Linked DNA regions of Sus scrofa. The protein of the gene in region 6 interacts with the protein of the main gene of each other region in a pairwise test. Links are inferred from orthologs where the notes say so. Each region holds a gene or a part of one and is shown on either strand. Other genes may lie near its edges.

What was found.
Region 1: the proteins of TNIK (region 6) and GSE1 interact in a two-hybrid assay, tested with the Homo sapiens proteins (2 studies listed by BioGRID and IntAct). The link is inferred for Sus scrofa from reciprocal best matches to the Homo sapiens genes TNIK and GSE1.
Region 2: the proteins of TNIK (region 6) and ACTG1 interact in a two-hybrid assay, tested with the Homo sapiens proteins (2 studies listed by BioGRID and IntAct). The link is inferred for Sus scrofa from reciprocal best matches to the Homo sapiens genes TNIK and ACTG1.
Region 3: the proteins of TNIK (region 6) and HARS interact in a two-hybrid assay, tested with the Homo sapiens proteins (2 studies listed by BioGRID and IntAct). The link is inferred for Sus scrofa from reciprocal best matches to the Homo sapiens genes TNIK and HARS1.
Region 4: the proteins of TNIK (region 6) and AGTPBP1 interact in a two-hybrid assay, tested with the Homo sapiens proteins (2 studies listed by BioGRID and IntAct). The link is inferred for Sus scrofa from reciprocal best matches to the Homo sapiens genes TNIK and AGTPBP1.
Region 5: the proteins of TNIK (region 6) and CNKSR2 interact in a two-hybrid assay, tested with the Homo sapiens proteins (2 studies listed by BioGRID and IntAct). The link is inferred for Sus scrofa from reciprocal best matches to the Homo sapiens genes TNIK and CNKSR2.
Region 7: the proteins of TNIK (region 6) and CLU interact in a two-hybrid assay, tested with the Homo sapiens proteins (2 studies listed by BioGRID and IntAct). The link is inferred for Sus scrofa from reciprocal best matches to the Homo sapiens genes TNIK and CLU.

The regions. Positions count from the first base shown.
Region 1 is NC_010448.4:3,259,010-3,262,931, forward strand, and holds part of GSE1 (genetic suppressor element 1), read right to left. Parts: intron 3,700-3,922; coding exon 3,508-3,699; intron 3,103-3,507; coding exon 2,789-3,102; intron 1,910-2,788; coding exon 1,585-1,909; intron 1-1,584.
Region 2 is NC_010454.4:1,318,616-1,323,232, reverse strand, and holds ACTG1 (actin, cytoplasmic 2), read right to left. Parts: upstream 2,879-4,617; 5' UTR 2,735-2,878; intron 2,360-2,734; 5' UTR 2,354-2,359; coding exon 1,991-2,353; intron 1,701-1,990; coding exon 1,262-1,700; intron 1,167-1,261; coding exon 985-1,166; intron 894-984; coding exon 750-893; 3' UTR 14-749; downstream 1-13. UniProt on the Homo sapiens protein: Actins are highly conserved proteins that are involved in various types of cell motility and are ubiquitously expressed in all eukaryotic cells.
Region 3 is NC_010444.4:142,398,390-142,402,746, forward strand, and holds the start of HARS (histidine--tRNA ligase, cytoplasmic), read right to left. Parts: upstream 2,844-4,357; 5' UTR 2,748-2,843; coding exon 2,658-2,747; intron 2,379-2,657; coding exon 2,289-2,378; intron 1-2,288. Other genes in the region: probable histidine--tRNA ligase, mitochondrial, read left to right, coding at 3,087-3,194. UniProt on the Homo sapiens protein: Catalyzes the ATP-dependent ligation of histidine to the 3'-end of its cognate tRNA, via the formation of an aminoacyl-adenylate intermediate (His-AMP). Plays a role in axon guidance.
Region 4 is NC_010452.4:29,438,961-29,443,486, forward strand, and holds the start of AGTPBP1 (cytosolic carboxypeptidase 1), read left to right. Parts: upstream 1-1,381; 5' UTR 1,382-1,390; intron 1,391-4,526. Other genes in the region: serine/arginine repetitive matrix protein 3-like, read right to left, coding at 843-1,381. UniProt on the Homo sapiens protein: Metallocarboxypeptidase that mediates protein deglutamylation of tubulin and non-tubulin target proteins.
Region 5 is NC_010461.5:17,787,875-17,791,796, forward strand, and holds part of CNKSR2 (connector enhancer of kinase suppressor of ras 2), read left to right. Parts: intron 1-1,973; coding exon 1,974-2,074; intron 2,075-3,922.
Region 6 is NC_010455.5:109,657,123-109,661,044, forward strand, and holds part of TNIK (TRAF2 and NCK-interacting protein kinase), read right to left. Parts: intron 2,274-3,922; coding exon 2,139-2,273; intron 1-2,138. UniProt on the Homo sapiens protein: Serine/threonine kinase that acts as an essential activator of the Wnt signaling pathway. Recruited to promoters of Wnt target genes and required to activate their expression. May act by phosphorylating TCF4/TCF7L2.
Region 7 is NC_010456.5:11,345,854-11,350,520, forward strand, and holds the start of CLU (clusterin precursor), read right to left. Parts: upstream 3,140-4,667; 5' UTR 3,125-3,139; coding exon 3,028-3,124; intron 1,993-3,027; coding exon of another isoform or gene 1,869-1,992; intron 1,496-1,868; coding exon 1,347-1,495; intron 1-1,346.

The DNA.
Region 1 (3,922 bases), on a different chromosome or scaffold from region 6:
TGAACTAAGGGACTCTTTGCTTGGTGCATTTAAAACAAAATTCGGCTTCCAAATTCCCAGTTGGGTGCTGTCTTCCCCAAGTTGACCTACTTCCTTAGGGAAAGCTCCGTGCTGCCAAGGTGACCGGCCAGAAGGGGAAGGGACAGAGGCCACGGAGCACATGACCAGGCTCTCAGGGCTCCCCCTGCCTGGCTGGGGGCGACGTCTAACCACAGCCGCCCAGGCTGCGGCACCTCCGCTGGGCAGACCCAGAAGGGAACCGCGTCGAGACGTTCCGTGTCCTTAAGTAACAGCAAAGGAGTAACACCCGCGAGCGCGGTAACTATTTCACGCACTGGCGTCAAGCACAGCTTGGCTGTGTCCAGCTCGGGGCACAAGGCCCTGGGACCATCGGTTCACACTGCCAAGGGGGCCGTCCAGGCAGGGGCGCTATTTGCCCCCAGGCCTGTAGCAGGTTCTACGGCAGAGGCCACCCCTGCTGGGGACAGCAGCGCACAGGCCCTGACAGCTGTTCTGGGGTCCCGGGGCCCCCAAGCAAAGGAAGACATCCTCAGGAGTGGTCAGAGCGCCCTGAATTTACCAGGAGGGCTGGGCGAGTGCTGGCTGCTCCCCCAGCCCCGGGGGGTGAGCAGAGAGGGCAGCTCACAGGCAGATGAGCCAGTCCTTGTGTGGCCTCAAGTGGGCCCAGAGAAGCGAAGGGACAGTCTACAGAGGGGACCTCACTGCGGCCACACCAAGCAGAGCAGGCCAGAGGCTGTGGGACACCCAGCCAGGGGCCCGGCCATGGTTTACTCCCGGTTACACCCAACGAGCCAAGCAAATGCCCTCAGCACCCTACTCAGCGGATGCAGAGGCAGGGCTGCTGGATGGGCCAGCTGCACCCGTGACAGCCAGAAAACCCACAGGTCAGCCCACAGCTGGACCCAGACAGCGCCACGGACGCCGCGCTGCAGAGGCGCTCGGAAGCCCTCCCGCTCAACCTCCTCCATGCACAAGTGAGGAAGGGGCCCCGAAACCAGGGCCCCCCAGGCCCGGCTCTCTCCACCGCCCTGGCTGAGGGTCTCAGCCCAGCTCTTCTGATAGAGCCCTGCAAGGACGGAGGGTGGGGTAGGGGACGCAAGGTGACAATCAGGTCAACAGGCGGCAGCAGCGAATCCCCAGGGTGGACAGAGGCCCAACTCACAAGGTGTCTACACTAGGGGTCCTGCCAGGGGTCCCAGAGGTGGGCACAAAGGCCTCTGGGAAAATCTTTCTAATGGGGCTGGGGACTAGGTGTGTTTTTTTTTTTTTTTTAAATTACTAAAGCAATACAATGAATTTTTTTGTTTAAAAATTAAAGGCAGTTGCCATCTCATTTAGAAAAATTTGGGCAGAGGGAGTGGGAGAGATGTGATTATTAACTGAAAAGTCCCTCGGCCTCTGCAGGGCCCCAGGGTCCTGCGTGGGAGGGGCCCGGGCTCCGGACCCAGGCGCCCGCGAGCAGCTGCTCTCCCCGCTCCCTCTGCTCCCTCCTGGGCGAGACTGGCGGGGGTGGCAGGGGCAGGGGCGGCGAAATGAAACCTCAGCGGCGGTGCCCGGCCCCACCTGGCGCTCTCAGGCCTGTGCTCCGTCTCTGCAGGCGCCGGGGGCCGGCCCATGTCCAGGTGCTGCTCCAGCACCTGCTGCCGGAACTCGGACACCTGCGACTGCCGGTCCTCCTTCTCCTGCCGCAGCCGCCGCTGCCGCGCCAGCCACTTCTCCTCCTCGTTGGTGCGCTGGATGAGCAGGGCCGTGGCGGCGCTGCTGCCCGGGAGCGAGAAGAGGCCATGGTTGGAGAGGAGGCTGGGCACCGGGTGGTGGGGAGTGGGCGCCGGGTGCAGGGGGTGCTGCACGGCCTTGGGCGCCTGCAGGCCCGCATCCTTCAGCTTCTCTGTAGGGGAGAAAGGCCATCACAGCGGGTCTCAGCCCTCCGCCCTGCCTGGGCTCTGGGAAGGGCGCTGCCCTGCAGCCACGGCTCAGACACGAAAGCTGCCCACAGATGCTCCTGCATGCAGGCCTGGCTGCCAGGGACAGCGGCAGGCCTTGGGGTGGTCAGCTGAGCCTCCTGGGGGCTCGCCTTGTCCCGAGACATTCCTGGCAAGGGGTGCGGAGCAGGCTCATACCCCCTTGGCAGAGCAGACTCAAATTTGGGGGAGCCACGCACACCAGCAGTTAAACTCGCTATTATTAAAAGTGAGATTATGTATACTCACAATGAAACAAAATATGCCTAAAAACTAAGGTTAAAAAAACACTCAAGGAGTTCCCATCGTGGCGTAGTCGACAGGAATCCGACTAGGAACCATGAGGACGCAGGTTCAATCCCTGGCCTCGCTCACTGGGTCAAGGATCTGGCGCTGCCGAGAGCTGTGGCGTAGGTCTCACACGCGGTTCAGATCCTGCGTTGCTGTGGCTGTGGTGTCGGCTGGAGCTCTGACTGGACCCCCAGCCTGGGAACTGCCATATGCCATGGGTGCAGCCCTAAAATGCAAAAAAAAAAAAAAAAAAAAAAAAAGCCAAAACCCAAAACCTCCAAACTATCACTTCCTAAGGTTGTGGCTGCATGTTTCTGTGGCACACATCGTGGCAGTTATCTACGTCCATGGCATCTGTATCACAGTCTCTCTTCTCAGCTCCCTAACCTGGGAATGTCACTCCTGCCGGCTCCCGGTGCAGGGACCTCAGGCTCATTCACAGCCGGACACTGACAAGGTCAGCCGGGCTCTGGCCGGGGGCAGCGCCCCGGGCACAGTCCCCCCGCCTTGGGTACCTGCTCGGGTCGGGGTCAGCTGCTCGGAGGGCTTGCCGCGATCCTCGGTGGCGTGGCTCCGCAGCCCGTGCAGCTCGGCCACCGGCAGGAAGGCCGGCTCCAGCGCCTTGGCGGCCAGCAGCTCCTTCTCGCGGGCGCGCTGCTGCTCCCGCTGGCGCTCCAGCTCCCGCTCCTTCTCGCGCTCGCGCTCCAGCTCCTTCTCGCGCTCGCGCTCCTTCTCCCGCTCCCGTTCGCGCTCCTTCTCCCGCTCGCGGTCGGCTTCCCGCTCTCGCTCGCGCTCCCTCTCCCGCCTCAGCTCCTCGTCCATCTGCAGCCTGCGGGGCACAGGGAGCCGGTGACCTCCACCGCGGAGGGTGCGGGGGCCGGGACCGTCCATCAGGGAGAAGCCCCCGGGGCCAGACACCGACACCTGAGCCCAAGGTTTTGGCGGGAGACCCCAGCGTTCCCCTGGAAACAGTGCCGGGAGACGAGCCAGGTTCTGGTTCTGCTAACACGCCTACGAACTCGAAGGCCCTTAGATCAAAAGCTGTGTACAAACTCCCTTAAGGCCCCCGGGAAGCTCACAGCCTGGGCTGGTGACTCAGGACGCAGCCTCGCCGGGCACCAGCCAGGACCTCGGAGCACCCGCCCTCTGCCCTCGAAGTGAGGGCAGCAGGTGCCGAGGAGCCCGCCGGCCACGCCCAAGGAGCCGAAGGCACCTGTCCCCGGATGGGGCTTACCTCTCGGCGCTGAGGCTGGACATCCGCTCCGAGTGCAGCGCGGCCAGGGACGAGTGCGGGAGCTCAGGCGGGTAGCGGACCCCGGAGAGGTGGAGGTGCACAGCTGACGGGTGCAGCGGGGGCAGGGAGCCGGGGGCAGGGATGGGGTAGAAGGGGGACCGCAGGGCCGACAGGCAGTAGGAGTCGTCCATCCTGTGCCGGGAAGACGGGCCTGGTGAGCACTGCCCTTCAGGGGAAAAAGGCAGGAGCAGCCCGACTGCCAGGTGCCCCGGCCAGGGACTGGGCTGCTCCGAGCGCGCTGGGCAGGGCGGGCGGCCGCAGCGCCTCCCAGAGGCCCTGGAGACAGAGGCACGTCCCAGAGCCCCTTCCTCGCGGAGACTGATGGATGCCAACAGCTCGGCCCAGGCTGGGTGGA
Region 2 (4,617 bases), on a different chromosome or scaffold from region 6:
GCAGGAGCCGGCGAAGGGTTTACTGCAGCACTTTATTTCCTCACAATGACGCGTTGCTGGGGCCTAACGTTCTCACGTGACAGTAGAAAACCAAAATCTGTTGTCATCTCTTAAGGAATTGAGAATTGCGTACAAAAACCTTACATAAATTAAAAGGATGAATAAATTTACAGGTGTGAATGCAAACGCTTCCAACTCAAGGCAAGTTAACAACCCACGGTTTTCTGGCGGGCAAACATCGGGGAAGAAAGGACAGTGGGTCCTAAGGCTCGGACCTTCCCAACCCCGTCAGACCGGCAAGACAGAAATGACAACTGGTTCAGGACTCTTGCCAGCCTCGAGAGAAATCCTGGAATAGGAGCTCGGACACATGAATACCCTGCACAGATCGGAGAGACTCCGTCTCAGATTCTCAACCAGCCAACGGATTTCTCTTCCACGATAAACAGGTTCTCACCTCAGCCACGAGGTGACAGAGCCGCGTGTGTGTAACTAGGGGTTTAAATCAAAGATATGCACAGGGTATTAAACAGAGACCAAGGGAAGAGTTAACTCGAGTACAAGGTCAAAATCAGCAACAAGGTCTACAATCCAGTGCTGATACCAGATACAAGCTTCAAGGACAAATTTCTTTTCAAAGGCTTATTCCAGTTTCAGGAGGCTGGCATGAGGTGTGTACATTTGCCAGGGCAAACTTTATTTCTGGATTAGCTCATGCAGCAAATGCTACGCATCTGCTCGCAGTCCGTCTAGAAGCATTTGCGGTGGACGATGGACGGGCCCGACTCGTCGTACTCCTGCTTGCTGATCCACATCTGCTGGAAGGTGGACAGCGAGGCCAGGATGGAGCCCCCGATCCACACCGAGTACTTGCGCTCGGGAGGCGCGATGATCTGGGGAGACAAGGGCGGGACTTCAGTCTCCGGCAGCCAAGCCCTGGGTCCCAGCAAGGCCGCCTGCCGACCCCACGGCCACCCGACTCACCTTGATCTTCATGGTGCTGGGCGCCAGGGCCGTGATCTCCTTCTGCATCCTGTCGGCGATGCCGGGGTACATGGTGGTCCCGCCAGACAGCACCGTGTTGGCGTAGAGGTCCTTCCTGATGTCCACGTCGCACTTCATGATCGAGTTGAAGGTGGTCTCGTGGATGCCGCAGGACTCCATGCCTGAGAGGCCGACAGAGCGCCCCCTTAGCGGTCCCCCGTGCAAGGGGATGAGCCCCCGGGCCCCCCCCAGGCAGGCCGCGCTGCCCGACACCTACCCAAGAAGGAGGGCTGGAAGAGCGCCTCTGGACACCGGAAGCGCTCGTTGCCGATGGTGATGACCTGGCCGTCGGGCAGCTCGTAGCTCTTCTCCAGGGAGGAGGAGGACGCGGCGGTGGCCATCTCCTGCTCGAAGTCCAGGGCGACGTAGCAGAGCTTCTCCTTGATGTCCCGCACGATCTCCCGCTCGGCCGTGGTGGTGAAGCTGTAGCCCCGCTCCGTGAGGATCTTCATGAGGTAGTCGGTCAGGTCCCGGCCAGCCAGGTCCAGACGCAGGATGGCGTGGGGCAGGGCGTACCCCTCGTAGATGGGCACCGTGTGGGTGACCCCATCCCCAGAGTCCATGACAATGCCAGTGGTGCGGCCAGAGGCGTACAGGGACAGCACGGCCTGGATGGCCACGTACATGGCCGGCGTGTTGAAGGTCTCGAACATGATCTGGGAAAGGCAACGGCTCCTTAGTCAGAGAAGGGACCCCGGGCCACCCCATGCTACACACCATGCCGACATGCCACAAACGTGATGTGATGTGTGGAGAAAAGAAAAGGAAGCAGGCAGAAACACAAACGAGAAACCTTGAGACTTCAGGAAGGAAATGCCAGGAGAAGAACAGAACCCTGAAAATATCGAAAGAAACACTTGAATTTCAGGAAAAAAAACCCAAAAGCTCAGCACTAAACGACTCATGAAACGGATGGAAACGGCCCACTGCACCCGGCAGCGCCTACCTGAGTCATCTTCTCACGGTTGGCCTTGGGGTTCAGGGGGGCCTCCGTGAGCAGCACGGGGTGCTCCTCGGGGGCCACGCGCAGCTCGTTGTAGAAGGTGTGATGCCAGATCTTCTCCATGTCGTCCCAGTTGGTGACGATGCCGTGTTCGATGGGGTACTTGAGGGTCAGGATGCCCCGCTTGCTCTGAGCCTCGTCGCCCACGTAGCTGTCCTTCTGGCCCATGCCCACCATGACACCCTGGTGTCGGGGACGCCCGACGATGGACGGGAACACGGCCCGGGGGGCGTCATCCCCAGCAAAGCCAGCTTTGCACATGCCGGAGCCATTGTCGATGACCAGCGCGGCGATCTCTTCTTCCATGGCGATCTGCTCAAAGGCACGAGCGGCTCAGGCGCGCCCAGCGGCGCCGGGACGGCCCCTGCAAAGGCCCTGCCCGCGAGACGCTCCGCCTCCCCCCGGCCCGGCAGCGGAGAAACCGCCCGGAACCGGGGCCGCCTTTTATGTAACCCCCCCGCCCGCCGCCGTTCCGCGGCGGCGCGGCCCAGAGCGCTCGGCAGTGCGGCCGGACCCCACCCAGCTCCCGCCCCCGAGGGCGCCCCCACTGCGGACCCCGGGGGCCCGCCCGGCCGCCCCTTTTGTTGCCAGCGGCGGTGAAGCCGGGCCTCTGGGGCCGGGGCCGGGCCTGCGGAGGAGCGCGAGAGCCGGACACCGGGCCGGAGCTGCGCAGGCCTGGTCACCTACCGGCGGAGACGGCGGCCGCGGGGCGCGGAGGAGCGAGCGGAGGAGCGGCGAGAAGACACGGAGCGCGGGCCGGCTGCGGCGAGCGAGACCGACCGCGGCCTCCCCCGCCCCTATTTAAGCGGAGCGGGGGGCGCGCGCGGCCCGGCGGCGCGCGCGGCCCCAGAACATGTCCATATATGGCGATCTTTCCGAACGCCGGGCGCCCATTGGCCCGGCCGGCCGGGGCACGTGGGGCCCCGCGCCCGGTCCCGCCCCCTCCCGCACCGCCCCCAACCGCCCCGCCCGCGCCGCCCCCGCGCGCCCGCGACCCCGCGCGCGAGACCCCGCGCGGGGCAGGCTAGCGGGCCGGGCTGGCGATTCCCCCCCCCACCGCCCCCGGGGTCGCAGGGTGGGCCGCAGAGCTGACCCGCCGGCTCCGCCCCGGGACTGTCGCGCACCCTGGGGGAGGGCCCGGCTGCACCCCGAAACTGCCTGGCCCGGGGCTGGGCGGCACCGGGAGCAGGGTGTGTTCCCGCGCCCCGCCCCCGCAGGGGGGCTTCGCTCCCCGCGCGCCCCCTGCGAGTTTCCTCCCCGAGGCTCTGCAGGGAGCTCGGGCCGCGAGGCGGCTTCTCGGTGCTGAGCTGGGGGCGTGGGGGAGGGGAGAGGGCGGTGGTCGCCGCCGGTCGCCGTGGCGGCACTGTGGGCCCGGCGGTCCGGGGGAGTCCCGGGGAGCCGTGACCTCGCCCTTCTCACGACGAGAAGGAGCCGCCCGTTTCCTAGCGCAGCCACCACCGCCAAGGCCCCTCCGCCGGTGTCGGGGCGCCGGGGGTCCCTGATTGTGCAGAGACAGGCCCCGTCCTACCACACCCAACCAACGCATCCTGCGCCTCAAACCGCAGACCCGATTGTCCCCAGGCGGCGGCTCCTCTCTGCGTTTGGGGCCACCCCCTCCTCGTCCGCGGGGGAGGTGGTGGAGTTTTGCTCCATTTTAATTACTTTTGAGTGTTGTATGGAAACTGAGGCAGGGGCTACCTGAATCATCACCTTCCCCCTAGACTTGAGCGGGGCACCCTCTTCTCTGTTTATGATACTAGGAAACGGCCACGCCTGGAGTGGGTTTCCTAGGCCTCAGTAACTCTGGGGCTGTGGGTCCAGTCGGCTCCAGGGCGCGCCCTTTTCCCCAGGAGGCTGGTCTTGAAGTCCTGTCACTGCTGGCAGGGTCTTGGTCACACCTGCTGCCACCAGTGCTTTGGTTATGCCCAGAGGGAACCAGGTACTTTGGAAGCTTTCGGGATTGCTCAGCACGGAATTAAACATCAAAAGAGCCACAGGGAAGAGAGAGCACTGGCCAAGAGGGGTGGCAGTGGTGCCGGGCAGACCGAGTCTGGGGCCTTGTCAGGGTCCCAGTATGCTTGGCTGGACCTGGGCAGGTGTCTGCCGATGGGGGGGCGGGACCAGGTGCCCCAAGAGCCCTTCAGCTGGTGTTCACATCTGCGTTGGGCTAGACAGGTAAAGCCGCTGCCCAGCTCACCTGGGGGGGAACCTCTGTCACCCAAACGCAATCCATGCCTACGGCCACCTGTGCCACCAGGCCTAGCTGGGTACCCGACTTCCCAGACTTTCCAAAGGCACAGGGCAAGGCCTGGTGTGTGCGTGTGCCACTCTTGGGAGAACCGGGGGCTGGGCCTCCAGAAAAGTCCCCCCTTACTGGCACCTCTGGGCACAACCATGGGCCTTCAGCCCCCAGGTGGGGGCGTCCATGTGTGAGGACAACTGCCACACTTGGCGGTCCCAAGATGTCACACACGGAAGTGGGAAGTATCCAGTATCCAAGGCCTCACGCCCTGGGTCCGCCCGCCCCACATTCCACGCCGGCTCCCTCGACCGCGGGGCACTCCTTTGTC
Region 3 (4,357 bases), on a different chromosome or scaffold from region 6:
TTTGCTGTGGCTATGGCATAGGCTGGCAGCTACTGCTCTGATTCGACCTCTATCCTGGGAATTTCCATGTGCCACAGGTTCGGCCCTAAAAAGAAAAAAAAAAAGGTAAATCCCAGATATCATAAAATGTCATCCATAAATATTTCAGTCTTAGTCTCTTACATCACAAACAGAACAAAAAACTACAATACCTCCTTTCTTGCAACCAACGAAGAGCAACCCTTTACCTTGCCAAACCATTTTTAATTACCAAACCATTTTTAATTACCCCAAATTGCCTCAATAATACCTTTTTATGGTTGGCTTGTTTGAATGATTCGTTTTTGTTCGGGGTTTTTTTTTTTTGGCTGCGCCTGCGTCATGTGGAAGTTCCCTGGCCAGGGATCAAACCTGTGGCACGGAAGTGCCCAGGCTGTTGCAGTGACCAATGACAGATATTTAACTTGCTCTGCCACAAGGGAACTCCATAAGGGAACTCCTGAGTCAGAGTCTAAACGAAGTTCATGCCTTGTATTTGGGTGATATCTCATGTTTTTTTAATCTGCAACAGTCTGCCTTTTTTTTTTTTGCCTTTTCTTGGGCCACTCCCGGGGCATATGGAGGTTCCCAGGCTAGGGGTCTAATTGGATCTGTAGCCACTCCACTGGCCTACACCACAGCTCACGGCAATGCCAGATCCTTAACCCACCGAGCAAGGTCAGGGATGGAACCTGCAACCTCATGGTTCCTAGGCAGATTCATTAACCACTGCGCCACGATGGGAACTCCTGCTTTCCTTTTTTTTAAAAAAGAATTCCTTCATTTGTTGAAGAAATGAGCCATTTTTTCCTAAAGAATTTTTCCCATTCTAGTTTTGGTTAACTGTATACTCAATGTTTTAATTTAACATTTTCATGTATTTCCAGTAAAGTGGTAGTTAGGTGTGAAGAATGATTCAGTATAATTCTTGGCAAGAACACTTCATAGGTGGTGCTGTGCAATTCTTATTGCATTACATCAGGAGGCCCACAATAATATCTCGTCCTACTTTTAGTGATGCTAAGATGGACTGATGAGTTTAGGTGAGGCCAGCCTGATCTATCATAAATTCCCATTCATCTTTCCTCCCAATAGTTTGAATAACTATTGATGACCACTGCCCGGAGGTTTTAACACTGTCTCTTTAACCTCTGAAATGACTTATATGTAGAAAGGAAGAGCTCAATGAATGTAGGAGCCCAAAGAATTAATCTTAAAATGGGGCATCTCAAGACAAGGAAGACAGATCATCTGACCTCTCCTTTGGAATTCAGTTTCACACACTTTCATTGAATAGCTACTCAATTCCAATCTCAGCCTCTCAGGCTAAGTAAACCATGTGAATAATGAAAAGGCAGCAATAAATGTGGTAACGGAGGTATATTTGTCAAGTGCCGAGGGAACCCAGATGAAGGGTAAATAGTTCAGTTTATAGAACTTATAGAAGTAGCATCTGAACTGACATCATGGATGCTGAGCTAAGACTCTCCAACTTTATTTCACTCTCTATCTTCATTTCTACTTCTCCATCTGGTTCTAGCCATGAGGTCTTTTTATAGTTCCTGGAAACTACAAAGTTTCATTCTCGCTTCAGGACTTCCATTCCCTGGAGTCCCCTGTGGCACAGCAGGCCAAGCATCTGGCTTGTCACTGCAGTGGCCCAGGTGGCTGCTGTGGTGTGGGTTCAATTCTTGGCCAGGTAACTTACACATTGATGCAGGCAAGCCCCCCCCCCCCAAAAAAGGATTTCCACTCCCTATCTGGACCTATCTTCTTCTGACTCTTCATCTATCTCCCACTCATCTTTTAGGTCAGCTAGTCTATCACTTTTTTAGGGAGGCTTTCTCAGATTCCCCACTTGTCCCTTATTTTTCTCAGAGCACTTTGTTATTTCTTTACATCACTTAACCAAGTTGTAGTTACATATCTATGTGTGGGATCATATCTCCTAGGTCTGTTTGCTTCAGTAGAATGTGAGCTGAGGGGTGGCTATGTTGTTTACCATGGTACACTCACCTTGTGTAGCGATCACTCAAAAAATATTTACTGAATCAAAAAGGAGTAGCAGTAGCAGGTAGACGCCCCTAAATACTTAGCTGGCCTAGTTTCTGCCATCACTTTGCCATCCCAGAATGACTCAGGTAGAGTCCAGCCCAGCCTGGCACTCAGAGTAACTGTTGTTTCCTCTGCAGCATTTCAGATCCTCCTCAATGACCCGGTTCAGGGAAGCAGGCACCCTCTCAGAGGCTCCTTAAAGATATGATACTCACCTTGGGAGTTTTGAGCACAAACTTATGTTTCCCTTCATCAGGGCCGAGCTGTGCCTTCAGTTTCAGTAGTTTTGCCACCTCCTCCTCGATCTGTGGAGGGAAAGCAGGCGCTGGGCTGTATCACATCCACTCCTTCCCTTCCCCGCCATTCATTCAGTATCTCTCGCTCATCGAGAAGTGCGGCAGATCTGTCTCCCAGGCCCATCCTTCCTTCTCTTGGGTCCTATCGCAGCTACCTCCCCACCGAGCCCATCCTCCTCCCTACCAGTCCGGTCCCTGCTTCCATATCTTCAGCCTCTGTGCAGCCCACCCACGTTCTATGTCCTCCCTGGCCTTGCCTTGTTCCCTCCCCTGCCGCCTGGGTCGCACCTGCTCAGTGCTGGCCTTCTGCTGCTTAAGGCCCCGCACGCGCTCTCCCTGAAGTCGCACCAGTTCCTCCAGCGTCTCACGCCCTGCCATACTGGCTGCCAGCCGGAGCTGATTGCTGTCCAGATCGGCTGTGGCGGCCACAGCCTCAGCTCGGACGACTTCCGGCTACCGAGTCGCGGGCTCACATGCCTAGAGAGCCACCACCCAGGACAACAATCACTTCCGGCTCCTACCGGAAGTGTAAATGCTGGGAGGGAGCCGGAAAGGACCCAAGCCACCTTGCGGGATTTAGATGGTGTAGAAGCGCTTATTTCTTCTGTAGAGTCTGGGCTTCACCTCTACCGCGCCCTGTACCCTTCCTGGGGTCTTTTTTGCCTCCTTCCTAGGTCCTTTGCCTCCTGTCCCGGAAAGCCGTCTCACTGCCTCACGATGCCCCAGCTCGGATTCCTGCATGGAAGGGCCTGGGCTGCGCTGCTTGGCCAGCTCCGGCGGCCGCCCGGTGCCGTATGCATTGGGGCGGTCCGTTCTCATAGCCAGGTGAGCCAGACTGAGCTAGCTCTGGTCTGTCGGGGCAGGATTTCCAGGTCTGAAAGCATGGGCTCGCGGCCTGCACTCCCGCACTGTCACAGTCGGTTTTTATTGCGTGCCCACCAAGTGCCGACACAGAGCCTTTTAGGATGCTCTGTCATTAATCATAGCCATCTTGAGAGGTTGGGGTTATTATTTCTACTTTATAGTTGAGGAAATGAAGGCTGCCAGGTTAAATGACTTACCTATGGCTGCATAGTGAGGGAACATTTTAATGTAGATTCATAATCCCTTTCAGAACCTTTTGGCGTCTAGCACATAAACAAACTTTAAGCAAAATATATGAACGTTCCACTGAGGTGACTAATGACCCTAAATAGACTGAATTCACATTAGAATTTACGTCAAAATGAGACTCCTTCATATCCCCCCCACTCCGATTTTTAGTTTTCAGAGATTTTGACTTGTAGAGGAGGGAATGTGGACTTCAACTGCCATCCTTTGAAGGACAGAACCTGCCAAAGTATAGAACTACTCCACCGTCTATATCTGGAAATAAACAGAATCAGTGATTTTGTTGTACCTTGGGAAAAAGTCTTCTAGGAAGACTGGTCCAAGCCTAAGGACCATTACTACCTTATTAAAAATTCTTTTTTTTTTTTGAATTTTTTATTTTGTTTTTTTTTTAGGGATGCCCCTGTGGCATATGGAGGTTCCCAGGCTAGGGGACAAATTGGAGCTGTAGCTGCTGGCCTACGCCACAGCCATAGCAATGCAGGATCCAAGCCAAAACTTTGACCTACTCCACAGTTCATGGCAACACTGGATCCTTAACCCACTGAGCAAGGCCAGGGATGGAACCTGTGTCCACATGGATGCTAGTTGGATTCATTTCCACTGAGCCACGAGGGGAACTCCTTAAAAATTCTTACTTTCACTCTTTGAGTAGGAGCCGAGAACTGGGGATTGTGCTAATCCCTACTTCTAGATGGTTGGTAATGATAATGCCGGGTTGCTTTGTGCCTTCCTTGTTCCTGGGTTAAACTTTTTCACACATTAAAAAAACTCCAGGAGTTCCCGTCATGGCTCACTGGTTAATGAATCCGACTAAGAACCATGAGGTTGTGTGTTTGATCCCTGGCTTTACTCAGTGGGTCAAGGATACAGCATTG
Region 4 (4,526 bases), on a different chromosome or scaffold from region 6:
AAAATGCTATAACCTACCTTTTGGTGCTCCTAATCAGGGAAACTATGGCATTTATAAAATGGCAGTTTCTTGTTCATCGTAGTAAAGACATCTGCCAAGGGCAAACTGCAGGCAGCACAGATGCTGCACCTTGGATTACCTTTGAAATGACCTTCGCACCTGCATAAGTTCTTTTAAATATGATGATAAGAAAATGAAACAAAAACCTCACAGCTCTCAATTTATTTCCCTATCCAGCTGTAATAATTTTACATTTCTTACCAGCTACTATAAACAGCAGCAAACGTGACCTATGCTCTGGAAAAAAAAAAGTAAATGTCAGTGTTTATTAAGAATACGTTATAATGTGTTCACATGCAGTCGAAACAGAAGAGAGTGAGTGTATCGGTATTTTATCTCTCTGACACATTATTTTGGCTCAGAGAAAACATTCCATCTTTGTCTTTAGTGGCTCATTCAGCATTACCATTTTTTTGTGACTATATGTACGCACGTTACAAAAAAAGCAAAAATTAAATCAGCATGAAATTTTGTTCCTTGCAGCACTAGGTATCTGATTTATTGAGGTATGACCACAAGGTAGAATTTCATTGTGTTCTGGGAGCCTGGCTGTGAGAGCTGATAGTCTTCACCCTATTAAGGACTCTCCCTGAGGTCAGTAAAAGGCTCTGTTCTACTGCGGTCCCCAAGGTCCAATGCCACCCCGGTACCACGTGCGTCGGAGAGTTAACAGCCACTGGTGTGGTGCTGCCAAAAGCCTCATAAGACTGTCGGGGTGGCTCCAGCTTAGTTCTAGGAAAAGGCGGAGGCTCTAATTGAGAGAGCAGAGCAAGGTGACTTACAGGACGCGGGCAGCCGCCGGGAGACCCATTTGGTCGGGTAGGGCGGCAGCTGCAGTGGACGACAGCCAGCGCCGCGAACAGCCGGGCTCCAGGATCCCGACCGCGTTTTCCCGGCTTCCAAACAACCGCGTTCGCCCCGCCCTCTCCTTTGCGCGCGCTCCCAGCTTCCCCACGCGCGCTCCCCGGGCCCCCGCCGCTTCTGCCCGCGCGTGACCCGCCCTCCCCGCCGGCGCGCGCCCATCTTGCACGCGCGCCCCGCGCTCCCTCCTGCCCGGCGCGCGCGAGCCGGCTGGCCTAGCAGTGCGGTGGGCGGGGCGCCGCGCTGACGTTGCCCGGGATGCGGGCAGGTTCCGCCGCCGCCGCCGCCGCCGCCGCCGCCACTGCTGCAGCCGCCTCCTCCTCGCCTGCCACCGGGGTTTGTATGAAAACACCCGGCGGCGGGCGGCGAGGAATCCGTCGTGAGCCGGGAGAGCAGCCGCAAGTGCTGCTGACGCCGAACTGGGTGCTGCGGCTCTGCCTGGTCCCTGCCAGCGCCCCATCCTGAGCCGGTGAGCGCCGCTCCGCTGTCCGCGCGTCCGGGCCAGCAGCCCCTCGCCCGCGACTTGCCCGGCTGCCCGCCACCCCTCTGCTCTCTCCGGCCGCGGCATCCTGGGGGCGGGAGAAGCCAGGGAGGAGCGGCCCTGAGCCCGCCGTGGTCTGTGCCCTGCCACCCCTCCGCCCCTTACCTGACAGGTTGTGTAACCCGTGTCTTTCGGGGGTGGACCCGGTCTTGAAGGGAAACGCCTGATGGATGGGGGCTTTGGCCGGTGTCTGGAAAACGTCCCACCCCGCCCCCACCCACGGACACTGGGAAGCCCCCGCCCCGGTCGCCCCCTTCCCGGTCGCCGCGGAGGATTCCTGGCGCGGTCTCCGAGCACAGGCGGCCACCCGTCCTGCCACCCCTTTCTCTCGGGCCCCAAGCGCCGGTGGCCTCGGTACAGCGCGGAGCAGAGCGGAGGGGCGGCGGGCCGGGGCCGGGCGCGCGCCCAGCCTCCCCACCCACCCCAGCACCCACCCTAGCTCTCACCCTCTAGGTGCGCTAGGCTTTCAGGTGGGATGTGGCGTTGGCGAGGCTTACTTCCTCTCAATGGGTGGCTTGACCTGAAGTGTCTTCTCTGCTTACAACTTGTCGCCTTGTGGGTTTGATTTGAACCTGAATCATCGCCCTAGATGACAGTGCAGTGTTTCCCTCCAGCCTTCCTTCCTGAGTTGCGGGTTCTTTATTGCAAGTATTCAGGGCCTCTTGCAACCCAGCGCAAAGGCTTGCGGAGCCCTATGGTGTGGTTTCCCTCCTGTACCTTTAAGTTTCTTAAAGTGCCAGTACGGTTTTGAATCGGTTAGTTTCCTTTCCTGGGCATTTTACTCATTATAGAATGGAGTTATAAAACATTGATGCAGAATGGCTTTTATACTTAAAGCCCATTTCTCGTTTTAAGATAGAGTCCTCAAGAGCCTGCAGGTGCACTGTTGATGACCTAATATGTTGTAAGATCCGGTAGAAATTTTCTTTGGCGGTATTACTTCTTTGTGGGTGTTTTTTTTTTTTTCCCCCCAGGTATTCACAATTATGGCAGAGTTTATGATGCACGACAGTTTATAGTTAGCAAGGACTTTAGCAGTCTTCTGGATCACTTATTTTCCTTTACCATTTATGTCCTCATTGGAATCTTTATATAAATGGAGTTATGTCTTTCTTTGTTAACCTCTGAATTCGTCTTATAAGTTGTCTTTTTTTCTTAATTCCCTGAGAAAGTCAGAAAGTTATTTTTGTAATGTATTGTGGAATGTTTTCAGTTCAGTAGGCCAAAAAAGTAGTAGTTTATTTAAGGCACCTTAAATGGTACATATTTTAAAACATGTGCCAAGTGTTCATCGAAACCAAGCAGAACCCTGAAAGCTCTATCAGCATTTTCTTGTGTAGTTACTGTGAGATAGTCAGCAGTGCCTTATCCACTTTTTCTCATTCTTAAGGCGGAGTTGTAACACGACTTGTTTTTTTTTTTTTTTTTTTTTTTTTTTTTTTTTTTTATATTAAATTTTATTTTATTTTCCCACTGTACAGCAAGGGGGTCAGGTTATCCTTACATGTATACATTACAATTACAGTTTTTCCCCCCACCATTTCTTCTGTTGCAACATGAGTATCTAGACATAGTTCTCAATGCTATTCAGCGGGATCTCCTTGTAAATCTATTCTACGTTGTGACTGATAAGCCCAAGCTCCCGATCCCTCCCACTCCCTCCCCCTCCCATCAGGCAACCACAAGTCTCTTCTCCAAGTCCATGATTGATTTTCTTTTCTGAGGAGATGTTCATTTGTGCTGGATATTAGATTCCAGTTATAAGTGATGTCATATGGTATTTGTCTTTGTCTTTCTGGCTCATTTCACTCAGTATGAGATTCTCTAGTTCCATCCATGTTGCTGCAAATGGCATGATGTCATCCTTTTTAATGGCTGAGTAGTATTCCATCGTGTATATATACCACATCTTCCGAATCCAATCCTCTGTCGATGGACATTTGGATTGTTTCCATGTCCTGGCTATTGTGAATAGTGCTGCAATGAACATGCGGGTGCATGTGTCTCTTTTAAGTAGAGCTTTGTCCGGATAGATGCCCAAGAGTGGGATTGCAGGGTCATATGGAAGTTCTATGTATAGATTTCTAAGGTATCTCCAAACTGTTCTCCATAGTGGCTGTACCAGTTGACATTCCCACCAACAGTGCAGGAGGGTTCCCTTTTCTCCACAGCCCCTCCAGCACTTGTTATTTGTGGATTTATTAATGATGGCCATTCTGACTGGTGTGAGGTGGTATCTCATGGTAGTTTTGATTTGCATTTCTCTTATAATCAGCGATGTTGAGCATTTTTTCATGTGTTTGTTGGCCATCTGTATATCTTCTTTGGAGAAATGTCTATTCAGGTCTTTTGCCCATTTTTCCATTGATTGATTGGTTTTTTGCTGTTGAGTTGTATAAGTTGCTTGTATATTCTAGAGATTAAGCCCTTGTCAGTTGCATCATTTGAAACTATTTTCTCCCATTCTGTAAGTTGTCTTTTGTTTTCTTTTGGGTTTCCTTTGCTGTGCAAAAGCTTTTCAGTTTGATGAGGTCCCATGGGTTTATTTTTGCTCTAGTTTCTATTGCTTTGGGAGACTGACCTGAGAAAATATTCATGATGTTGATGTCAGAGAGTGTTTTGCCTATGTTTTCTTCTAGGAGTTTGATGGTGTCCTGTCGTATATTTAAGTCTTTCAGCCATTTGGAGTTTATTTTTGTGCATGGTGTGAGGGTGTGTTCTAGTTTCATTGCTTTGCATACAGCTGTCCAGGTTTCCCAGCAATGCTTGCTGAATAGACTTTCCTTTTCCCATTTTATGTTCTTGCCTCCCTTGTCAAAGATTAATTGACCATAGGTGTCAGGGTTAATTTCCAGATTCTCTATTCTGTTCCATTGGTCTGTCTGTCTGTTTTGATACCAGTACCACACTGTTTTGATGACTGTGGCTTTGTAGTATTTCTTGAAGTCTGGGAGAGTTATGCCTCCTGCTTGGTTTTTGTTTCTCAGGATTGCTTTGGCGATTCTGGGTCTTTTGTTGTTCCATATAAATGTTTGGATTGTTTGTTCTAGTTCTGTGAAAAATG
Region 5 (3,922 bases), on a different chromosome or scaffold from region 6:
AAGCACTGAACCTACATCTACATGAGTATATAGTCATGGTTTTCCCACCAGTGTTTACTGGGTCCGTTTCTGGGCAACTACATTCATTCGTTTTTGAGGAGAGACTTAATGTGCTTCTCCTTAGTATGTGACCCAGTATGAAAACCAGATATCAGATTTAAGTTAACTAGTCTTTGTTTATCTTTTGCTCAGAATAATTAAGGTAGGAATAGAATTTTGAGGCCTTGTATTTTGAGACCTGAATATAATAATCTCCATTGCTCAAGAATTTCTTTTCTTTTTTTTTTTTTTTTTTTTTGTCTTTTTGTCTTTTTGTTGTTGTTGTTGCTATTTCTTGGGCCGCTCCCGCGGCATATGGAGGTTCCCAGGCTAGGGGTCGAATCAGAGCTGTGGCCACCGGCCTACGCCAGAGCCACAGCAACGCGGGATCCGAGCCGCGTCTGCAACCTACACCACAGCTCACGGCAACGCCGGATCGTTAACCCACTGAGCAAGGGCAGGGACCGAACCCGCCACCTCATGGTTCCTAGTCGGATTCGTTAACCACTGCGCCACGACGGGAACTCCCATTGCTCAAGAATTTCCTTGCACAATAGCCAGGGTTATGGAGCAGCAGGAGGAGGGGGCTGGAAGGATCGAGAGTATATGTCATGTGAAATTCTCCCACCAAGTCATACAAAAGAGACCCAGTGGTTTAGAGCAAGGCAGTTTCTTAGTTCAATTCCCAGTTCTGTTATTTTCTGTTTATATAGTAAGTGCTCAATACATGTTAGCCATACTTATTAATCAGCACTACAAGCCCCCCCCCTCTATATATATATGTAAAACAATGTGGGAAATCCTGGGTGGAGAAGGGTACCTGTAAAAATATGTGCCGTGACTTTTTACCTAAATCTGGATATTAGTTAAGCCTTCTGCTGTTTCTTTTGTGATTTAGATTTTCCTAAGAATAAGGAACCTTTTGCTTTAATGCCTTTTCTCTTATCATCTGAAATTCACACGCGTAATACTTACAGGTTTTTTCCTTGTAAATCACATAAAGAATTAACCCAGCAGTTGCAGGGCGGTTAGGATATGGTAGAATATCTTATTCTGATTATTGGCCTTTGTGCTATATTTTTCTTACTCAATGAATGTATCTCTCAGAGTTTTTCCCCTTCCCTCTTGCCTCAGGTCTGCCAAGTCACTTTGTCTAGCGGCTTACATTTTCTACCCTTTCAAGTAGTTCTAGAAGTTTGGAACTTACAACCCACATCAGCAGATTTGCCCTTTTGTGTTTGGCAAGAATCAGAGTTTGCCATGTGTTTCCAAGTAGAGGTGGGAGTATGGTGTTATAGAGACTCATGTCAGCATGACTGGAAACAGCGATTGTTAGGTAACCAGTGAACTGAAGCCAGAGAAGAGAACTGAGAACATTATTTTTGAGCTGTTTATGTCTGTAGAGATCTTCTTTGAGTGTTCATCTTTAATATAAAATGATACACCTTTAAGAGGCATCATGTGACATTCATTAATTGAGCTTCAAGTGATTTATTTCGTCTAGAATGTAAAATACCCTAAACTTGGATTTCCCGCTGTGGTGCAGTGGGTTAAGGACTCAGCATAGGTCGCAGCTCTGGGGCTCAGATTCAATCCCTGGCCCAGGAATTTCCCTGTGCCCTGGGTGTGGCGGAAACCTAAGATACCCTAAACCCGATTTGTCTTATGCGGTGCCTTTTCTTAACTCCTTAAAATTGTGGCTCTGTGAAAATGCTTGCTTCAGAAGGAGATTGGGATCAGGTGATCGTACTCTTCCTTCCACCTCAAAACCCAGCGAAAATAAAGGTTGGTGAGCCTAGAGTAGGGAGTGCTGGGGAGCAGGGTGTAGGAATGGGATTGAAACTTCCTTTTGTTAGCTGGTGGTGTATGTTCCTGAAAATATGGCTAGAAACTTTTAATAGAATGTTGATGTGTCCATGTGTGTGAATTTGCAGATTATTGGAGTGAGAGTGACAAGGAAGAAGCAGATACTCCATCAACACCCAAACAGGACAGCCCTCCACCCCCCTACGATACATACCCACGGCCTCCCTCCGTAAGTTGCCAATAGGAGTGTATTCAATATTGCATCAGATTCTTTGACCTGAAATATCGATTTGTATGTTTAAAAAAATTATGTAGTGAAGTACATGTCAGACCTTGGGTTTTTTAGGAGGAAGCTGTCTAAAAGTAATAAGGGAAAAAATTTTAAGTATACAAAGAATGTTTAATCAAGAGGAACAGTCATCACAGATTCCATGCCTAATAAATATCAGTTTTAAGAAAAAATGCCATTTGTGTCAGAGCTGCCTTCATAGAAATATCAACAACTAAAAAGTTTTCTTAGCTTGAGATGTCTAAATTGACCTTATCTGTTGTAGACTAACAAAGTTCATTCCTATGTTTTTTATTTTATTTTTTTTTTAATTACTCAAATGAATTTATTGGATTGTTATGATCATTATACAACTACAGATGTGATAAATTCATTCCTATGTCTTTTAGAAGCAACTCATAAAAACTAATACTATATCTGTATTGAACATGTTTTGGCATGTAGCTTTTCAGACAGCCATGGAGCCCGGTTTAATGTATGTGTTTATATGGTGCTCTTCTTCTTAAGGCTTCTTAAACCTGTGTAAATCATTCTGTATATAGAGTGTACCTCGATCCTTTCATAGAGTAAACAACTGTCCTGATTTGCTTGGGCCTATCCCAGTTTATGCCCATTTCCCATCAGAATTACCAAATGTGTCTCAATACTGTCCCAGTTTAGGCAACACATTGTTTGGTCAATTCTGCCTGTCTTGGGACTGAGTCTTCCACATAGGAAATGGAAGCTGGATTTAGGTGACAGTAGCAGCCAACCTAATTCCACCTCCCTTTTACTCCAGGGGATTTTTAACAAGAAGAATGCTCTGCAAGACTTTGATAAAATTCTAGGCCACTTCTTAACCTTGGCTGTGCATAAGAATCACCCTTGGAATGTTTTAGAACAGCAGATACTCAGGCCTAATCAAGACATATAAAATCAGAATATTTGGGACTGCAAACAGCTCACTGGACTGGACTGTGAACTTTTTATTTTTTTGAGAACAGAGACCCTGTTCTATTCATCTACACATCCCCTTGTCCTAGCCCACTACTGGCACTTATTTATTAAGTGCTCAGTAAATATTTTTGAAATAAATAAATGAAATGAAAGAATGAATACTTTGGGTTAATGACTAAAAGGAAAGTCACATTTTTTTTGTTGTTGTTGTCTTTTGAGGGCCACACCTGAGGCATATAGAGATTCGCAGGCTAGGGGTCCAGTCAGAGCTGTAGCCCACCAGCCTATACCACAGCCACGCATGGCAACGCTAGATCTGAGCCACGTCTGTGACCTATACCACAGCTCACGGCAACCCTTTGTATCCTCAACCCACTGAACAAGGCCAGGGATCAAACCTGCATCCTCATGGATGCTAGTCGGGTTCACTAACCACTGAGCCACGAACTTCCAAAGTCACATTTTTAATTGAAATGTTTGATGACAGTATCTCTTACCTAAGGGAAACAGGACAGAAGGAAAAAAAATGCAGAATTGTTCCCATCCATATGCACATATTCTTAATAAATGCTGCAGTGTACCAAGGTCAACAGAATGCAAGGATGAACTGTGTAACTGAAATAACTAGGTCAGTAACAATATATAGTTTCTATCATATTTTACCTCTTTCCCTAAAACATCAGGGTCTGAATAATTCCCTTAAAATTTTTGTAAAAGTGGGGAGCTCCCCATTGTGGTTCAGCGTTAACAAGCCCAACTAGTATCCACGAGCACGCGGGTTCAATCTCTGGCCTCGCTCAGTGGGTTAAGGAACCAGCATATCCATGAGTGGTGGTGTGGGTCGCAGACGTG
Region 6 (3,922 bases):
TTGTCTTTCTTGTTTTCTCCATTTTTCACTTCCTTATTTTCTATGTATCTATCTCTAAGTACATGCAAACTTTGTTAGTGCTCTAAACGCCTTTAATGCAGTCAAATACAGCAGGTAATCCTTTAGTAACATTTTCTTTTCCTTGGAGGTTCCTCTTCTGGAACCCTCCATGATACTCTGCCTGGATTTATTTATTTATTTTTTTCTCTTTCTCTACACCCACACCCACACCCTAGAGGTTATGCTTCTCTGAAGAACCCTGACTAATACAGATGGATTATAAAACACTGAGTGAAAATAATTTTTCTTTTAGAATACTGGAGGATCCTTTGTCTTCTAATCCTCTAGTGTTGCTGCTGAGTGCTAGGCCACCTAATTCTGGGGCTTCCATATGTAATTGTAAACTGTTTATCTATTTATTTATAATTTGGAAGATTTAAGAATGTTCTCCTTTCCTGGGTACTGAACTATGTGTTGCTATTTTCTTGTGAGTCTTTTTTCATTTTCTTTGAATATTTTAATTTGAGATTTTGAGATTTTAGTTGTAGAAACTTCTTAATTCTCTTTCTTTGATACTTTCTTCCCCTCTCATTTCTTAATTTCCCTTTTTGCAAAAATTCCCATAACTTAGATTTTGAACCATTTGGACTGGATCTTTTATTTTCTTACCTTTTCTCTCCTGTTTCTTTTCATTCTATTCTCTAGGACATCTCTCATCATTATCTTCCAACCGTTCTATTTCATTTTTTATTCCTGCCAATGTATTTTAATTTCCAAGATTTTTTCCTAGTCTCTGAATGACCTCCTCCAACTCTGCTCCATCCCCCCCCCCCTTTTTTTTTAAATAACTCCTATTCTTGGAGTTCCTGTTGTGGCTCAGTGGTAACAAATCCGACTAGTATCCATGAGAATGTGGGTTCGATCCCTGGCCTCGCTCGGTGGGTTAAGGATCTGGCGTTGCTGTGAGCTGTGGTGTAGGTCGCAGACATAGCTCAGATCTGGCATTGCTGTGGCTGTGGTGTAGGCTGGCAGCTACAGCTCTGATTTGATTCCTAGCTTGGGAACTTCCATATGCCATGGGTGCGTCCTTAAAAAGACACACAAAAATAAAATGAATAAAATAAAATAAAATAACCCCTATTCTTCTTTTAAGGAAATGGTATTTCTAAACTCTTAAAGTTTCTTTCTAAAAAACTTTGTTCCCCTCCTTATTATCCTTTCATTCAGAGAATGAAAAAAGAATCACAAGAAAACAGCAACACATACTTTTTGTTTAAGTTTCCTTTCTATTAGTAGATTTCCCTGCTGTCTGATATAGGTGGGCTTATGATTACTAGGCTTCCATTTAAGGTGGTCAGGTGCTTTTATCATGGCATTTCAAATATTACTATCTGAACATATTTTCTTTCTGGCTGTTTAGTTTCTCAAAAGACAATCTTTCAATCTCTTGCTTGGGAGTATAAGTATGGCTATTTTGGGACCTAAACAAGGGAAGAAAGGATGTGTGTGTGTGTGTGTGTGTGTGTGTGTGTAACCTCATAATTCAGGACTCCTCACCCCCAGACTGGCTGTGCCAGCCTTTCATCTTTTGTTGCAGTCAGGGGAGGTGGCCGCCTGAGTTCTGGAGGGTTTGCTGTTCATCAACTTTCCAGCTATCTTCCCTTCTTCAGTCCCACCCTCCATCTCCACCTCTGATACCTCGGGAGCCTCAGGTCCTCAGCTTCTCTGGGTTTTGTTGAGTGACTGGATTGATTTTGATGACTTTCCTCACTGCAGACTTAGAATTCAGCATTTCTTGGTCAGCTGGGTCTATTTCTAGTTAGCTAACTACTCTTGTCCAATTGTGCTGACATCTCTTGCTTGGTTTCTCTTCTGGCCCTTTTATTCCTTCACTGTCATTTTAATGGGTCTCTGAGAAGAAGTTCAAGCTGGGGCTCAGGACTTTATTCTGAAAGCACTCTTTGAACTTCATCAGTCTGACTTTTTTTGAAATAATACAAGTATACTTAAGGTTCTAGAGTGCCTTAAACCAGTCACAAATGCATCAACAATATCTGACAGAAAAAAACAAAACAAAACAAATGAAACTTAACCAAATAATCTGGATTGAGTGAACAGTTCCATGTCTTGAGACTTACCAACTTTGTAATGTATACAGCCTTCCAAGTCCCCAACCGTGATCCAGCCTTGTTTCTTTTCGACTTCTGGGTCATTGTGGAGTATTCTGTTTCTTAACCATGAAAGATAGTAAACACGTAGCTTATTCTTCTTTCCTGTTGAAATAACAGAGCTTTAATTTTCAAGGCCCTGAGACAGCTCTTTCCCTCAGTCCTTCCCCAGCTCCATTATATTTTATTAACTTACTTTTATTAACAATTATGTGTGTGTACATTTGAAGGCACAAAGAACCAGTATCCCCAGCATCAAAGTAATGTCTCTGCCAGGACTGACGATTAAAACAGTCCAAGTGTTTTGGACCAGTCACTATTTTATAAAGTGTCTTTACCTTCAGCTGCTCTTACTCTCTCCTCCCAATGCAAAGGGCAGTGTCTGCTGAACTCAGCAAGACCCAATACTCTAACGGGATGGTCGATTAGCATTCCAATACAGTCTAGTTAGATCTACAAGGAAGGTGTGGACAACTGGATATTTCAGCATACTTGTCATGTCTGCCTTTCCCTCACCTTCTGACCAACAGCATATGTTAATGGAGAGCCTCTGTTACCCAACAAAAAGAAAAAGGAATTTTGTAAGGAGACAAGAGAAACAAATTCAGTGAAGGCAATCTGAGTGCAGAAAATATCCTTGGACACGTTTATCGTGCTGAGATTACTGAAAGGCATATTTAAAAAAATAAGAAAGGAGAAAAAGTTGTATACTTGGTTGGAGTTGCCATTTTGGCTCAGTGGGTTAAGAACCCAACATAGTATCCATGAGGATGCGAGTCTGATCCCTGGCCTTGCTTAGTGGGTTAAGGATCCGGCATTGCTGAAAGCTGCAGGGTGGGTCACAGATGCAGCTCGGATCTCAGGGGGCTGTGGCTGTGGCGTAGGCCGGCAGCTGCAGCTCCATTTCGACCCTTAGCCTGGGAACCTCCATGTGTCAGAGGTGTGGCTATTAAAAAGAAAGATGTGTACTTGGGGGGAAAAAATGTAAAAATTCCTTTGGTAAAAGATTGCAAAGTGATCCTGGAGTAAAGAATTCTTAGTATGAGGAGTTCTCATCATGGCACAGTGGAAACGAATCCAACTAGGAACCATGAGGTTGCAGGTTCGATCCCTGGCCTCAGTGGGTTAAAGATCTGGCATTGCTGTGAGCTGTGGTGTAGGTCGCAGATGTGGCTCGGATCCTGCATTGCTATGGCTGTGGCGTAGGCCGGAGGCTGCAGCTCTGCTTGGACCCCTAGCCTGGGAACCTCCATATGCCACAGGTGAGGCCTTAAAAAGAAAAAGCAAAAACAAAAACAAAAACAAAAAAAAAAGGAAGAAAAGAATTCTTAGTATGATATGAAAACATCTTAAAAACATTAAGGAGTAAGTAAGGAGAAAAACTTAATATACGATCTAAGATTGTACAAATACCAGATAAGAACATGTCCCTTGGGGTGGCTTTTACCACGTGATCAGTAATTCAGGCCTGTGGGGTATACTTCTTGGGTCCTTATTTTCCTTTGATTTCTCTTAGGCATCAAAACATGTTTTATAAGTTGCAGATGTAATATACACCAGAAAAACAGATTCACTAAAGCACTGCACACTGGATTTGACAAGAGAGCACGTTTATAACTTAAATTAAGGGAACCCCTGTGCAGTTACTATTCTTTTATAACTGAAAGCACTGATTATGCATGGACCCCAACAGCTAAGGTGGGTGGGAGGAGGGTGGGGGTGCTTCCTTCTCTCTGGGCCAACACAGATCAGAG
Region 7 (4,667 bases), on a different chromosome or scaffold from region 6:
CACCGGATCCTTAACCCAATGAGCGAGGTCAGGGATCCAACTTGCAACCTCATGGTTACTAGTTGGATTCGTTAACCACTGCACCACAATAGGAGCTCTACTCCTGCTTTTCTAGGTGAAAATCTTGATACATGAGTAGCTTAGTTTTCAAAGAATTAAGTAGACCATCCACAGCCAAAGCAAAGCTACACTATGACTATCTGACCAGGAGGATTTTGGGGTATGTGAGATCGTTCCCTGCCCCATGTCCCTTGTCCCCGGCCCTCAGCTCTGCACACACCTCCTACTGGGCTGATTCACAGGCAGCAACTATTCTGCCCTCTTACTTTCTTTCCAGTTCACATGCTCTTCCACTAAGAAGTCATAGGGTCTTTTTTCAAATTTGATGTGCTTTGTCATGGAACATGGATGGTCAAACATTGAACCTCAAGGAGAACTGTAAAAATTCAAGAGCAAGACTGGCTGCTTCTACATGGGCTCTAAAAGGATTCTTAGCGTATCGTGAGAACGAAGACTGATGCCAAGAAAGGGCCTTAAGCTTCAAAGAAAGTGAGAGCTCTGCTACAAACAGTTGGGGAGGAAAATAATGGATTCCTGGGTCACTTCGATTGGGAAAAAAACACTTGGGTTAAATGAAGTTCCATGTGTTTCTTTACTGAAGAACCTCTCCAAGTCTTTACAATGCTTTTACTCTATGTGTTGGGGATCACAACGGTGACAGGTGGCCCCATCACAGCTTCTTTGTCATGGGGGAAGGTATGACTACGGGAGTAGGCTTTGAGGATACCCTTAAGGAGACTATTGATTTTTTAAAAAAATAAGCTGTTTATTGAATTGCAGAATTTTAGTTTTGTATGTTCACCAGGGACCTGGGTGTCTCTTTATGAAGTAGTCCAGAACTCTAGAAAGACATGGGCAGTGTGTGCCCACTGTACCCCCAAAGATACCCTGTACCCCTCCAAGACAAGCTTCCTGAAGGTGGGGTGCCATCCCCCTCCTAACCCATGTCCGTGACAGACCCTACCCAAAGCCTGCCTTGGAGTTTGGTCATAATCAAGGTCTAGCAAAATCTACTGAAGTGAATCTTGGCAGCAGGCCCTGGGCCAGGCTGGTAACAAAACCAGATCCAAGATCTCACCCCTTGAAGCTTTCAAAAGCAAATAAACCTTCCCTGTTTGTTAACCACAGCCCCAGGATCAGCTGACACCGCCTGGAAGGACTGTGGGTTGCCATGGCAACCTGGCTGACAACCTGGCAGGCCATCCAGAGGAGCGACAGCCAGTCCCTCCCCCCTGCACAGAGGGTCAGGGCGGGGGGGGGGGGGGGGGCACCTGGCTCTTCCTCACCTCTTTCTTCTTCTTGGCTTCCTCCAGGGAGCTGAGCAGTGATTTGCGCTCTTCATTTGATTGTTCTATTAGGGTCTTTATCTGTTTCACCTCCTTGAGGGCATTTTTAATTTCTTTATTAACGTACTTACTCCCCTCGGTGGACATTTCTGCAAGAAAAGCGCAAGGGAGGTAGATGGGGCGAGAGGAAGGAATGGTGCTGGGGATATAAGCCTGGAACCAGCTGGAAGGGTCGGAAAGGCCAGTGGGTCTAGGGGCTGCCAAGCCTAGGAGCCCCTGACAGGCAGCCTTCGGGCCCAGCCTCTGCCAACCCAAGTTCCATCACAGGGCTCACTGCAGACCCAGGACCGAGGAGCATCCATTACACCCCACCCTGCTCAGAAACACCAACCATCAGAGAGACACACCCCAGAGGAGAGACAACCCAGGCCACCTCCAGGGCTCTGGAGAAGCAGCCTAATTGGCTGCCGAAGAAAATTTTCAAGGGTAACTGCTTAAGCATGAAAATGTAAATATTATTACTTTGGATACAAGTCTTTCTGGACTTGAGTTTAAGCACGCATGTGTTCTTCTTTGTTCCAATGCATGGTGTCAGGAGACGGGGACAGGAAGCACTGTGGATTAACAACACCATTCCTCGAGGGGACTGTGATCAGACACAGCAGGGTGACAAATGCAATGAGACAGTGTCAATGAACTTCCGAAAATAACAGCCAATACGTTTCTGATCTTGAGCCAGGAGCTGAGCTGAACGCTTCTCTCTCTCTCTCTCTTTTTTTTTTTTTTGCGCCACACCCACAGCATATGAAAGTTCCCAGGCTAGGGGGCAAATTGGAGCTGTAGCTGCCGGCCTATGCCACAGCCACAGCAATGCCAGATCTGAGCTGTGTCTGTGGCTTACACCACATCTCATGGCAATGCCAGATCCTTAACACACAGCAAAGCCAGGGATCAAACCCTCGTCTTCATGCATACTGGTCGGATTCGTTACCACTGAGCCATGACAGGAACTCCAAAGCTGAACACTTCTTATGCATTTTATTTAACATGCCCATCTGTCCTCACCCCACAGCACCAATGAGGATAAAGAGATCAAGACACTCACCCAAGATCAGACAGCTGGGGAGGGTGGAGCCAGACACCCACCCAGAACTGATCTCAGGGTTTTTAACTACTGCCCTGCAGTGGTCAGCTGCTAGGACAGAGTGGGGAGGAGGGAATTTAGGTTTCAGGAAAGGTCTGGCAGAAGAGGGGACCACCAGCGGGGCTCTGAAGGATGTCAAGCCTCTTAGGGAATGAGAGTTCCCCTCTCCTGAATCCAGGGCACTGGTTTCCTAGGTGGAAAGGGATGGATACAGGGAACAAGTGCCCCGGCAACTCAGAAACGGCAGGCCACAGAGGCGCCAAGGGTCCAGGCTTCATGGGGTTTCATGGAGGAGGTGTGGGTGCCAGGCTCGGAGGGAAACAGACCAGTGAGGTGCAGCAGCCAGAAAGGGCTTGAGAACAACCTGAAACTGCCTTGAAATCAAGCTGACAGCAAAGCCCAGGCTGGCGAGGGAGGCCTCAGCAAGGCTGGGGCAGAGCAGGTGCGACGGGATGCACAGGAGGGAGAAAGGTGCTCTCTAACCCTGGGACCCAGGACGGGGAGGGAGCATGTGAGGAGGCGCACAGGCTCACTTACCCTGGAGCTCTTTGTCCGAGATGGCCTTGTCCCCCAGCACCCAGGGGCCATTCTCCCAGGTCAGCAGCAGCCCCACCAAGAGCAGCAGAGTCTTCATCTCGCCTGCTTCTCCAGTTCTGGAATTCTAGCACGCCTCTGTTTGTAGAGAACAAGGGACTGTCATGGTAACAGCCAGGCAGCCTGGGGGGTTTCCGCTCTAGCCTGCTGCCTGCAGAGGCTTCGGCTTCCCAGGCGCCCAGCAGAGGCCTTGCCCTCGGCTACCCCCTCAGCTGGCACCACTGCCCTTTATCTGGGGAAGTGACAAGAAAGGCTCAGACTTGCCACGGACAAGTGGAAGGAGTAGATAGAGGCAGGAACCACAGGACAGCAGCCTAATATAAGAACTCCAGAGTCACAGCCACCAGGCTCAGGTCCAAGCTGCCCTCCCCCTGTCCCCCTCCTCCTTCTCCCCCTTTTCCTCGTTCTCCTCCCTTTACCCTTAATAGCTGACTAAGCCTGAGCAAGGCACAATACTGTCTGCATCCAGGCAGGGCATCTATCTGCTGATACCTGCTCACATCAAACAAACTCTGAAAACACCTCTCTTGGGTCACTCATCTGGCCTCTCCCGTCCTCCCCCTGCCAAAGTGGGGACTGCAGTCCAGAGTGCAGACAGTCCAGGCCGCTGCTGTGTGCATCACCCATCCTGCCCCAGCAGACATCACCAATCAATCACAGCAGTTCCTCCCCCCTACCCCCTGCCCGCCTCTAAGCCTCAACACCTCCTGAAACTGCTTTTTCAGGGTCTGAGGCAGTGAGGACCTCAGACCTCTGGGTTAGCACATTCTAAGCCCACAGCAGGGTGTCTGCCAAGGTCCTCCCACCACCACTCGGCCAGCTGCCCTGAGCTCTGGACCAGCTGGTCTTACACAATGGACCCTTTCCCAGAAGCTGAAGCTGTTGCAAAACAGAACCCCCGTGCCCTGCACCTCCTCCCCAGAACCGCTAATCTGAACTCGCCCACTTCCCTGAACAGAACGGGAAGGGGGTCTCTCCTTCCTGAGATGGTGCACATCCAGAAGCTGCTCTCAGCTTGGCAGGCCCCCCTGGACCCTCGGGAGCATATTCATAAAGCAAACCTCTCCTGAGACATCATTAGCAAAGCAGCCGAGCTGTGGTTCTCAAGCAGCGTGGGAGAAGAGGGCGGGGTCACCACCTTCCCCAGAGATGGTGAGTGGGTGGTGGAGCCAGGCGCTAATTCAGGTGTCTCGGCTCTGCCCCAGCTGCTCACTGAGGCCTGAAACGCCTGGAGCAGGGACAGAGCCTTTGTCACACCAGAGAGAGAAAGCCAGCAAGAAACACCCCTGATGTTGTGTGGAGGCCCCTGATGGCAATGATTTCTGAGAAATCCATACATAAGCCTCTGATACCAGAAGACAGGGCATTGGGTCCTGAGAGGAAGGGAGGCAGGGCAGCCAAAGGCAAGAGCCCTTCATGAGGAGTCTGGAAAGCAGTGGTCAGTGTAGGATCTCCTACCAGGACTGGGACCACGGGAGCCATAGAGCTCCGAGCTGGGAAAGAAACCAGTCTCCTGTCCAATCCCTCCCCCTTGGAGGGGAAGCCAAACCCACAGACAGGATGGGGCTTCCCAAAGCCTGCAG